Linked DNA regions of Oryzias latipes. The protein of the gene in region 1 purifies or fractionates together with the protein of each later gene. This does not show direct contact. Links are inferred from orthologs where the notes say so. Each region holds a gene or a part of one and is shown in the gene's direction. Other genes may lie near its edges.

Region 1 (4,436 bases):
AACTGTGGGTTTGTGTCTGGATGTGTATGTGGCTCGGTTTTGTGGATTTACTGTGGCGTGTAAACAGGCAGTAGACAGGTTCCTTTGTTTCCTCGGCTAATATCAAAAGCGTGTTGCTCACCCTGGTGCTACTAAAGAGCCAAATCCCAGGAACCATAATCCCAGATGCTCTGCTCTCTCAATCTCAAGACACAAGTGCATTGCACATTCCTCACAAACGCAACAAATGCTCAATGCTTCCGATCTGCAAGTTTGCCTGTTGACCTTCTTTTTGTTTGGCTCTTCTCTCAAAACTGTTAAACTCAGATCTAAATGGGCTCTATTCTGAAAAAAGAATGAAAATGGTATATTTTCTTAATCTCCATGTCTTCAATATTAATACAAGTTTTTGTGTAATTTAAGGATTAAAATCATCACTAAATTTGTTTTTTTTCTTAACTGACTAGTGTTAGTCATAACAAAAATTACAACTGTGACTTACCATCCTAGACCCTCAAAGGGATTAAAAAGGTGATTATTTTTAATTAATTCTTAAGTAATACCTGTACATAAACTTTTCCACATTTGGAGTATCTGCTAAATTTCTAACAGTTGTGTTCGTATTTCAATAAAACGTACTTCTTCATAATCAGTTAGGATTTAAAAGGCTTCACGTTGGTGCAAGTGTAAATGTTGGGAAGACAAAAATAGTCAAATATGTTGATCTATACTGTAGCCTTCAAATAAAAAAAAGGGTTTGTGTGAGTGATTTTATAGATGTACACTTTTCTTCAAGCACATCAATTTAAATGCTTCAGTTTAGATAACAGGAATGAAGATTAAAGTTATGGTCCATATGACCCCTAAAGTCTCCTCCCATCCCATGATGAATGTTTTTGGTGATGTTTTTTTTATTTTTCTGTCTCACCTACAAACATGCAGAGAGAAACTCATCACTGGAAAGCTGTTTATAGACATAATATTCATGCTTTCACCCAAAGCTGTACGATCTCCTGCTCTCTAAAAAGAAGGGAATTTAAAAAGTTGTTTTCTAGCTTTTGCTTAAAGTGAACATTTTCAGAGCAACACGGGTAGATCAACTGTTCCTGTGTACATCCATGTTTTTTTATTACAAATATTTTAAATATTAGGATAAATAAATCAACTGAATTAATAGCAGTTAATTGATTATATGTGTTTGTTGAAAACAGTTTACTTGGAAAATGAATTAATGTCTATCTGTGAGGGAAATGTTGATATTAAATTCATTTGTATACTTTTAGGTCACTGTATGAAGGGAAAACCCCTCAAGATCCCTTAGTTCTTGTAGAGTTAAAACTAAATTGCTCTCAAAATATTGAGTAAAGTATTGTTTTTTATCATAGATTGTTTAATTGTTCTTTTCCCCTCTCTCTACTCTCGTGTTTTGTTTAAATAATAATAATAATAATTTATTAATTTTCGGAGAAGATTTGTTTTGAAAATCGTGAGAAATGTTTTGCTGGCGCGCGCACACTTGCTGGAGCGAGCACGTAGCGTCAAGAACATGACGTCAGCCGGCTACGTGCTTGAGCCTGCCTGAAAATGTTCTCCCGTGTTGTTGGATTTAGAAGGAGCGCAGGACTTTGCGGCGGAATTATGTCTTTTTATCCATGAAGAAAACAGCCCTCGTCTTCTTGTAGTGAAGTCTTTGCGGTCCCGCTCTTTCATGAAACTGTGATTTTTCCGGAGGGCTGTCTCCGAGGGGAAGTTTGACTGATCCTTTTTTCTCCCGAAGTGATGTCGAATCCTGGGAGTCGGAGGAACGGGTCCAGCATCAAAATTCGACTGACAGGTAAAAATACAAAGGAAATAATTACATGATGAATTGTTTGCAGTACCAGTTTTGTGGAAAAACTACCACCCCAGTCCACATATCTCTGCTGTGTTATGTGTAAGTAGTCAATCTGTCTCCTTTCGGTGCTTCTTTGCCCAAACATCCGGTTTTCTGTAGCAGGCTCAGCTAACTTGTTAGCAGCCATGCTAACAAAATTACCGTACGAGCAATTCATAAATTGACAGTTTTTGCTCGTTTTACGGCTGAGCGAAGTGAAAACGCCGCAATGACGAGCTGGTGAAACTGCAGCCTTTTACCAAGTCGTTGAAAAACTTAATTAGCTGCTCGGGCTAGTAGGATGCTAGCGCTAGCCTTTACAACACTGCAGTAAATGTTGACCACTCGTAACGCTCGCTAGCTACACCCATATTTGGAGGGTGGACAGACAACCGAGCCCCGTCGCTTCTGCTGAATCCTATGGGCTCTGTTACAAGAATGAGAGCTGACCTGCAGCCTCTCCAGACATTGATTTGTCTGTTAATATGACATGCTACCCTAGATTAACTGCAGCCATCGATCGTCTGGTGTTAGCTAGAGCTACACTCGCTGAACTTCTGCCTCCTCTGAAGTTTGTTCTTGAGGTATCTGAGATCTACTGTCAGGGTTAGAGCCTTCATTTACACTTTTTTTAAATTGATCTTTATAAATATTATTTTAGGCCAAAAAAGCTCCTATCCAGCAGATATTTTTAATATATTTGGTACCTATATAATAAATACAATAAAGACATGAAAAAGATAAGAAAATTAAAGCTCAAGATTGTGTAATCTATGGTTCATTTTAATGTTTTTAACTATGCAAAATTTTTAAGGGGCATTTTTATAATGTATAATGAATCCTTAGTTAAGAATTTATTACTTTTTGTGTGTTAACACACTAACATCACTGACTGGGACCGAATTGATCCTGATTATATTTTGGTTATTAAGGGAAATTATATTTGACAGGCAGCACCAAAGCAATACAATTTTTTCACGTTAAATGTCAAGGCCTTTAGATTTAGACTAAAACCTGACCAGCCTACTGATGGCAAATGTCAATTTATGACTTTATTTATGGATACTTATGTTTAATACAAATTTTAGTTTGAGACTATTGGATATATCTAAATATGTATGTATTATAGTTTGAGAACCACTGTTTTATTCTGTTAAAGACCCACTCCATTCATCTGTTGATCTATTTTCAAAGCATTCCCAGTGGTTTTTTAAATATGATTATGCCCATTTTAGTCAAAATCAAAAAACCTGTCGTTTTCTTTAGAGCTGCAGGGGTTCATTTGACATTTGCCTTTGTGTTGTGCCTAGGACTGTTGGCACAGAGTAAGCTCACCCCCACTTCCCGTCACCCATTTGTTTGCGCGCTCTCCCAGCCCCTTACATCCCCAACCTACCATTACTGGTGCAACAAAAATGGCGAGCAATATTGGAGCTATCCAGCTGTACAGTTTTGAGCCAGATGCCAGCTCAGACGAAGAAAAGAGAGCCATGCATGGATATTGTGGTCTATAAGTGGATTAATCAGAATGGAGCGGAGCAGGGAGACTGTTGCCTATCGACTGTAGCTTCTATGTCACAAGTCCAACCTCTGTCAAACTTTAAATTGTCTCTGACTCATTTTCTTTTCCACTCTATTTTACTCAGAATCAGACAAAACAGACATGTTTGATGGGAATTCTGCAGGGTAACCCTAAACTGGAAATGAACTTTTTTACTAATGTAGCAGAATGCCTGATTCAAAACTAAATAAGCACACACGCAAAACATCGTTGCCTTGTTATTTGAAATTTTATTTTTTATTTGAAGTGGTGCAGAAAAAACATTAGTGGAAATAAAGTGATTGCTGTTCCTGTGGAAGGTTTGCGATTCTCCTGAAGTGACATGGTGGTTTAAGTGGTTAGACACTTGCTGCACGTGTGTATTTCTATATCCTGTGTCTAAAGTCTGCATTCTAAGGGATTAGAGCAGATACATGCTGTCTACTAGAGCAAGTCTCACAAACCTGACCTACTTCTTCCCATAAAGCCTTTATATTTACTCCCCAAGGTGTCACTCATTCAAGCTGAATGTGAAAAAGAAAAGCCAGAATCTTTACAGTTGAGAGGATAGTTACAGTTAAGCTAAAAGTGATACAAAAATCAACAGAACCAAATATTTGTGTTTCACACATAAATTTAAAGTCAGCTTTAGATACAAAGATGGGGATTTTCAGTTAAAAAATGGCACATTGATCTGAGAATTTATGGTTGAATAAACTTCACAGCAATTTTACGATTTTCTTTCATGGAAACAAAACTTCACTTTTTTAGTTTTTGAAGTAAAAATTTCTTGTTTTATCAGCATTTCATTTTGTGGTGCCAATTTAAAACCAACTCTGGTTCACTTTAAGCGAAAAAAATGTGTCCAGTCTGAATACACCCAGAGGTTAAATTGAGTGTCTATTTTGTTGGTCCGTACAGAGTCCGCTTAGTCTGGTCCAGATAAAGTCCTGAACCGTGCATTTGGACTATATCTAGACTGACTTTACCCAGGGACTCATGTTCCGGATCAAAGCTTGGAAACAAAACCATGTGACTAAAGAT
Region 2 (4,399 bases), on another chromosome or scaffold:
TTACAACTCTGTACTTTCTGTACATATTGTACATTTTTTGTTGTTGATGTGAGTACAGTATTTCTATTTTATTTTATTTATCTATATCACTCCAAAGCTGCTGCAATTTCATTGTATCATCATGTACAATGATAATAAAAAGATTCTGATTCTCATATTTCACTAAAAAAAGCATACTTTTGTGTGCCAAAATTAATATGAAATCATATACATGGATATTATTTACTATAAAAGGCTTAAGAATATAGTGTAGGCCCTTTAAGATACACACAAAAACTAAAAATACCAGACTATTTCAAAATAAGGATGGATTGTACTGGAATTGTTTCAATTCAATTAATCAAACAAATAATAATACTAAAGAAGAAAAAAAAGGTGTATTCATTTAGGCATAGGTATATCAAACTTAAGATGATTGATCATCATTCAATTGGAAATTTAAATGAAGGATAATTAAATGCCATTATAATTAATTCTAATCTTAGACACAGTTCTGTTTAAACATACAATACATGACACATTGAATTCATTACATTTAAAGTTTGTCGAAACAGTTAAACTAATTGCATGAAAAGGGGTGGGAGGAAACAAACCTATATACTCCAATGGACCCCTATTATGATTTCCTTTACTATTTTACTTGTTTTTTTGTTTTTATGTATTTACCATATCTGGTTTGCAACTTCTAAACTCCTAACATTGCATTAATCATCATAAGTTAAGTATCAAAATGGAATTATTTCAAAATTGATACTTAAAAATGGCTTGTATTTTCATACATGTTTCAATGTGTTTTTAATTTTATTTATAACATTTGTTATTATAATATATAATTTATTAATTCAAAATAAAAATAGAAAAGCTTTTCAACGCATCCCACTGGGAAAGGTTAACTGATGGACTTGGCACCAACAACTTGTGCAGCAAATCATTAGAAGTCATAAATGTGTTTAATGTCAGGCTGCGTTCAATATTTTATGAATTAAGCTTTTTCATCTTAAGTATTGAAACTCCCCCTGGAGCACATTATATCTGACAAAGAATCATATCCTCCAGAAATATATTTAGATAATGAAATAAACAGAATTGCATTGAAAGCCGTGCGGCTGAGAACTGATGGATAAACAGTAAAAATACTGAGATGTGCATGGGAGTGACTGACTGAGAGCCCCCTTACAGCACAGATCCTGCATGCATGCAAATAAGTTTCAGAAAGTTTTTGCTTCAAAAACCGAGAGGTGACTGTTTCGCCTTTAAGAGTTAAGAAACTTGAAACCTTGTTTGCGCAACAATCAGTGCAGCTCACAGCCGCCAAAGTGTCTAGACTAGCACATGATGGTAGTCAGCCAATGGCTCCACCGCTCTCCTCGGGGGCCCCGTGTGTGTGCGCCAGTCTGTGTGAGTGTGTGTGTGTGTGTGAGAGAGAGAGAGAGAGAGAGAGAGAGAGAGAGAGAGAGAGAGAGAGAGAGAGAGAGAGAGAGAGAGGTAGAGTGGGGAGAAAAGAAAAAGAGCGAGAAACGGAGAAAGAAAGAAAGGGATCTAGGTTGCAGTTTGGTCCAGGTCTGAGCAGAGACGCAGGCGCGCGCTTCAGCCACGGATTCGTGTAGTTTCCGCTTTCATGGAGGCTTTGGCTGGGATTTAAAAAAAGAAAAGAAAAAAAAGAACATCTTTAGAAAGCGGAAAGGATCTTTTACTTCTGCTGTATTTTCATTGGATTTAATTGGATTGAAGTGGGCTGCCTCACGCTCTGCGCGCCGGTGTAGAAAGTAGATCCAACAATTCGGGGAACTGTCATGGACTTGATCTTAAGGCTGCTCGTTGGGATTATGTTACTGGACGTGTTGTGTTGTGTTGTTGCGTGTTTTTAACAAACACACTGAAGGGTCCACTCCGCCTGGACAAGAAGCCAGCGTCTGCAGCCGCTCCGTAGCCCCAGCTGAACGCATGCCTGTCAGTTGGAATGCTGCAGTACGTTTGCGTCGCGGGTCGGTTGTTGTAGATGCAACAAACTCGCCTTTATTCTAATGCACCGTCAGTGCTCATCGGTTGGCTGTGCATGCACTGCACGGCGGTTCGGTGTCATTGATGATTTGCAACGACAGTAAAAGTGTGTGTAGTCTATCCGTACACGAATAACCCCCCTTCTAGTAGTTCGAGGTGTCGTATGTTCAGGACGAAACGCTCAGGTCTTGTGCGGCGACTGTGGAGAAGCCGTTTGATCCCAGATAAAGAGGGGGGAGATGGAAATGGCACAACTAGTGAGGGCTGTCGGGACGATCTGTTCGGCAACAACCCGGAGAAAATTCCCAAAACGGAGTTCAGACCGATGACCCCGAGTGGGTCCTTTGGAAGAGACTTGGGGTGCGTGTGCCCCGTGGAGAGCAGCGGCTCGGGCGTCACGTCGGACCAAGATGAGGGCGCAGTGTGCGTCCAGGAACAGGGGAGCCCCCGCTCTGTTCAGGACAGCGAGTGCAGGACGGTGACGTGCTGCTTATTTAAAGACCGGGACCACTTCGAGGTTAGGGGTCCGGAAACGGCTCAGGGTAACAGGGATCCAGGGTCGTGCCACTTCATGCTGAGGAACCTTGGAGGAGGAGACGGCGGCTCTCCTGACGCGCACGAGGCGATGCCCCGCGTGCTGTTGGAGCAAGAACTGAAGTCCGCCACATATTCTCTTTTGAAAAGGCTAAAGGAGAAGGCGCTGGATACTTTACTGGAGGCAGTGGAGTCCAGAGGAGGGATGCCGAGCGAATGTGTCATGGTTTCCGGGACGGAGCTGAAGTTTGGTGGACATGCGGCGTCTCCACCGCTGCTGGTGTGTAAAGTGTACCGCTGGGCTGACCTCCAGCACTCGGCTCAGCTCAAGCCACTCTGTGAGTGCAAGAGCTTTGGGGCCCTGGACTGCCCCACTGTTTGCTGCAATCCCTATCACTACAGCCGGCTCTGTGGGCCAGGTAAGACCCCCCCTGCAACACATCCTTTATGATCAAACTGACCCCCCCAATGTTGATCCTGCAACTTAATTTTCTATTAGTCTACATGATATGAGAAGCATGTGGCCTAAATTATGCTGTAAACCTGTATTGTCACTCAGATTAGAGTTTCATCTGCTCTCATACTTTAGAAGAAGCATCATCATCTTCCTTCCTTCAACATGAAGCACAGTAACTCCAAACTAACCAAGGACAGCCTGGTTGATAGTATGCTTTTAAACATTTGAAAAGAGGCTCAGAAAACTTTTTAAGGGCCTAAAAATCTTCCCATGACAGAATAAAGCATGACTTTGGCCTACAGCATCAGAACCAAGTGTTTGTCCGTTTCCAGCACTCCTTATAACCCTTGTCACCTTATAGCTTTAGATCATCTATATATCTATTGTCAGTTCAGATGTTTTTAGTTGTTTTTTTTGAGTTTTTACCCCCATATGATAAGATTGTCCAGATTCAGATGTTAGTTCCTCTCCATTGAGTTGGAGTGAGCTCCTCAAGACACACAGACTCCCTGACCCGTATTAAACGTATTAAAACTTGGCTGCGGATGGGGCCTGCGATTTAGTTTAAACGCTGGGCCACTCAACCCCGCTGACCCATTGACAAGGCTTGGTGTCATGTGTAAAGATGCAAGCGTCAGTATTTCTGTCTTCTCACTGGCATTGAAGGCGTATTTTCCATAACATCCACGTTGTCCAGAGCCAGCGGGCTGTTGCAAACATTTTAAAGTCACAAGTTCAGCACTATCAAAATTCATATAGTTGGGAAATTGATGAGTTACTGGATCTCAAAAGTGGAGCAGGCGTCAGAAATGATCAGACTCAAATACAGTAAAGTTTTATCATAAGTTATTTTTTAAATAAGTAAAACATTTTTCATGTAAATTGTTGAACATTTGGTACATCTGCATGTGAAGCGCAGGTTTCCTTTCCACTAAAACCCCCAAGATGAATTGTGAGGAGAGAGGCACATTCCCTGCACTGGGACTGAGGCTCATAGTAGACATAGCTCACATGCGCTCATGCGTGGCTCAGTAGAGCTGGTATTTCTTTCACGCTATTCAAAAAGAAGGGGGGCTATGAATAAAGACTTTAATTACTGGTTTAGATTTTGCAAAACCAGAATGTAAAACATAGAGACTTATATCTAATTATTACACAGGTAATGAAAAGGCTTTGAGTCAAAAGAAACTCATTCCTCAGGTTTAATCTTGTGCTTTATTTTAGCATTATTTTCTATTGTTTGAGTATATGAAAATAAAGTTGTCCTTTAAAGTTTTTTCTCTCTCAGAGACTTAAAAAACAAAACAAAAAAACAGGCAAAGTACTTAAAGTACTGAAGTGGACAGAAACTTCTCCTTCCTAATTTGCCAGGCATTATACTTTTCGAATGAGATCAGTTTCAAGTTG
Region 3 (2,666 bases), on another chromosome or scaffold:
TGAGGGTCTCCTCCTCTGAGGGTCTCCTCCTCTGAGGGTCTCCTCCTCTGAGGGTCTCCTCCTCTGAGGTTGTCTTCCTCTGAGGGTCTCCTCCTCTGAGGGTCTCCTCCTCTGAGGTTGTCTTCCTCTGAGGTTGTCCTCCTCTGAGGGTCTCCTCCTCTGAGGTTGTCCTCCTCTGAGGGTCTCCTCCTCTGAGGTTGTCTTCCTCTGAGGGTCTCCTCCTCTGAGGGTCTCCTCCTCTGAGGTTGTCTTCCTCTGAGGGTCTCCTCCTCTGAGGTTGTCTTCCTCTGAGGTTGTCTTCCTCTGAGGGTCTCCTCCTCTGAGGGTCTCCTCCTCTGAGGTTGTCTTCCTCTGAGGTTGTCCTCCTCTGAGGGTCTCCTCCTCTGAGGTTGTCCTCCTCTGAGGGTCTCCTCCTCTGAGGGTCTCCTCCTCTGAGGTTGTCTTCCTCTGAGGGTCTCCTCCTCTGAGGTTGTCTTCCTCTGAGGTTGTCCTCCTCTGAGGGTCTCCTCCTCTGAGGGTCTCTTCCTCTGAGGGTCTCCTCCTCTGAGGTTGTCTTCCTCTGAGGTTGTCCTCCTCTGAGGTTGTCCTCCTCTGAGGGTCTCCTCCTCTGAGGTTGTCCTCCTCTGAGGGTCTCCTCCTCTGAGGGTCTCCTCCTCTGAGGTTGTCTTCCTCTGAGGTTGTCCTCCTCTGAGGTTGTCCTCCTCTGAGGGTCTCCTCCTCTGAGGGTCTCCTCCTCTGAGGTTGTCTTCCTCTGAGGGTCTCCTCCTCTGAGGTTGTCCTCCTCTGAGGTTGTCCTCCTCTGAGGGTCTCCTCCTCTGAGGTTGTCTTCCTCTGAGGGTCTCCTCCTCTGAGGTTGTCCTCCTCTGAGGGTCTCCTCCTCTGAGGTTGTCTTCCTCTGAGGTTGTCCTCCTCTGAGGGTCTCCTTTCTATCCTCTGAGGTTCCACTCTGCTTTCAGAGAAAGGCCTGCAGCCATTCCCATCAACATCAAAAGCATCGATGACACCTCCAACTTTGACGAGTTCCCAGACTCGGACATCCTCACCCCTACAGGTACCCCTCCCCCCTCCAGGGGAGTGAATGCTGGTGTTGGTGGTAGGACTGTGCTTCAGCTCTGGTTCTGTCTTGCAGCCTCTCCGGTTTCTAATCACAGCGAGGCTGACCTGAAGAACAAGGACTGGGTCTTCATCAACTACACCTACAAGCGCTTCGAGGGCCTGACGGCGCGGGGGGCCATTCCGTCCTACATGAAGTCTGGGAAGAGATAAGCTCCTGCCCCCCCCATCACCACCACTGACCCTGTGTTGGCCCTCTTTCTGTGGGTTTTGCCCCCCAGCACCAGCATCCCGACATTCCCCCTTAAGCAGCAGCTCTGCTGGACCCTTGAGGGGCTGTGCTTCTGCCCTGTGGGCCAAAGCGGGTCAGAAGGACCCACCAAAGAGCCGACCTCTGCCCGCTTCAGGAAAACGACTCTACTTCTAGAACTTTTGCACACTTTGCCCTTTGAAAGTATGAAAGTAGGATTCCGTCTTCATGGCGACCCACTCAGCACCTTGATGGGAGTCGGGCCGGCTCGCTGGACTCTCTTTGGTTTTAGGTTTTAAAGCAGCTTTTATTCCAAAAGATGGCCGTTTTTGCTTTCTATTGTGATGTTCTGTTTCTGAAGCTTTTGAGTGGCAGTTGCTTCTTAAACCTCTTCACACAAACGTCTTGAATCTCTGCTTCTACGGCCCAGGGGTTGGGGTCAACAGTGTCCCACTTGTGGACTCCAAGGCTTCTGTTCTGTTACCTTTGTTCCACAGAAACACTTTTTTTTACAGGAAAAGGACTTTAAAGCATGAGACTTACCTGGGAGCAACGAACACACCATCCAGAATGCTGTCTTTATTATCACCAGCTAAAAATGAAGCAGGTTTTCTGCCCGGCAACAGCAAATTTCTGTTTTTCTTTTTCTTCAAAAGGTTTTAACTTTAAACATAATTTTAATTTCTAATTTTAATGTGTGTTTGTGTGTGTTGGGGGGGGGGGGGTGATTTTATTTAAACCGCTGCTGCAGTGCACACCTCTGTAATGTTTCTGCTGTTTGACAATGAAGAACTCTGCACTTAAAGCGTGCTCTCCTCACTCACGTGCATGTCCCATGTGTGGGCGTGGAGTGGCTGCCCCTCCTGGCCGTCCCAGTGCGGGGGGGGCATTTATTCTGTTGACTTGTTTGGAATCTCAAACTAACTTCTTCTCTGAGTCTAAAACACTCAGAGCATCACGGATGAACTTTGACAAAGTGATTAACCCCTGTGCTATCCTAGGCACTTTAACATTGGGAGTTGGGTCATCTAGACCCACTTCCACTTTGTCCTAAAACATGCAGAGCAGTAAATTATTTTCACTGCAGATTCCAACCAATCACAGCTCAGTATGACAACTTGAAGGATTGTAGGGATTTATAAGGATTATATTCTGACAGATTAGTGCTGAACAACAATAGCAGGAACATCCATTATTTTTCTTGGAAATGACCTGGCATGTTTGTGACAGCAGGGGGCGCTGGTGCATCACTTCAGGTCTGCAGCAGCTGCAGGTGGAGTTCATGAAGTTCATCTTTCCTGTGCGATCCCTTTTCTGATGGAAAGACCAGTCCTCCGTGATGTCCGGGGGGGACAGGAGCCCC

What was found.
Region 2: the proteins of smurf1 (region 1) and smad6 purify together in Homo sapiens (affinity purification with western blotting; 4 studies listed by BioGRID). This does not show direct contact. The link is inferred for Oryzias latipes from reciprocal best matches to the Homo sapiens genes SMURF1 and SMAD6.
Region 3: the proteins of smurf1 (region 1) and stk38 purify together in Homo sapiens (affinity purification with western blotting; 3 studies listed by BioGRID, with this or other methods). This does not show direct contact. The link is inferred for Oryzias latipes from reciprocal best matches to the Homo sapiens genes SMURF1 and STK38.

What each region holds. Positions count from the first base shown.
Region 1 is NC_019866.2:19,075,785-19,080,220, forward strand, and holds the start of smurf1 (E3 ubiquitin-protein ligase SMURF1), read left to right. Parts: upstream 1-1,523; 5' UTR 1,524-1,758; coding exon 1,759-1,813; intron 1,814-4,436. UniProt on the Homo sapiens protein: E3 ubiquitin-protein ligase that acts as a negative regulator of BMP signaling pathway. Mediates ubiquitination and degradation of SMAD1 and SMAD5, 2 receptor-regulated SMADs specific for the BMP pathway.
Region 2 is NC_019864.2:16,417,221-16,421,619, reverse strand, and holds the start of smad6 (mothers against decapentaplegic homolog 6), read left to right. Parts: upstream 1-1,511; 5' UTR 1,512-2,164; coding exon 2,165-2,954; intron 2,955-4,399. UniProt on the Homo sapiens protein: Transforming growth factor-beta superfamily receptors signaling occurs through the Smad family of intracellular mediators. SMAD6 is an inhibitory Smad (i-Smad) that negatively regulates signaling downstream of type I transforming growth factor-beta.
Region 3 is NC_019865.2:33,698,587-33,701,252, forward strand, and holds the end of stk38 (serine/threonine-protein kinase 38), read left to right. Parts: intron 1-956; coding exon 957-1,051; intron 1,052-1,129; coding exon 1,130-1,266; 3' UTR 1,267-2,108; downstream 2,109-2,666. UniProt on the Homo sapiens protein: Serine/threonine-protein kinase that acts as a negative regulator of MAP3K1/2 signaling. Converts MAP3K2 from its phosphorylated form to its non-phosphorylated form and inhibits autophosphorylation of MAP3K2.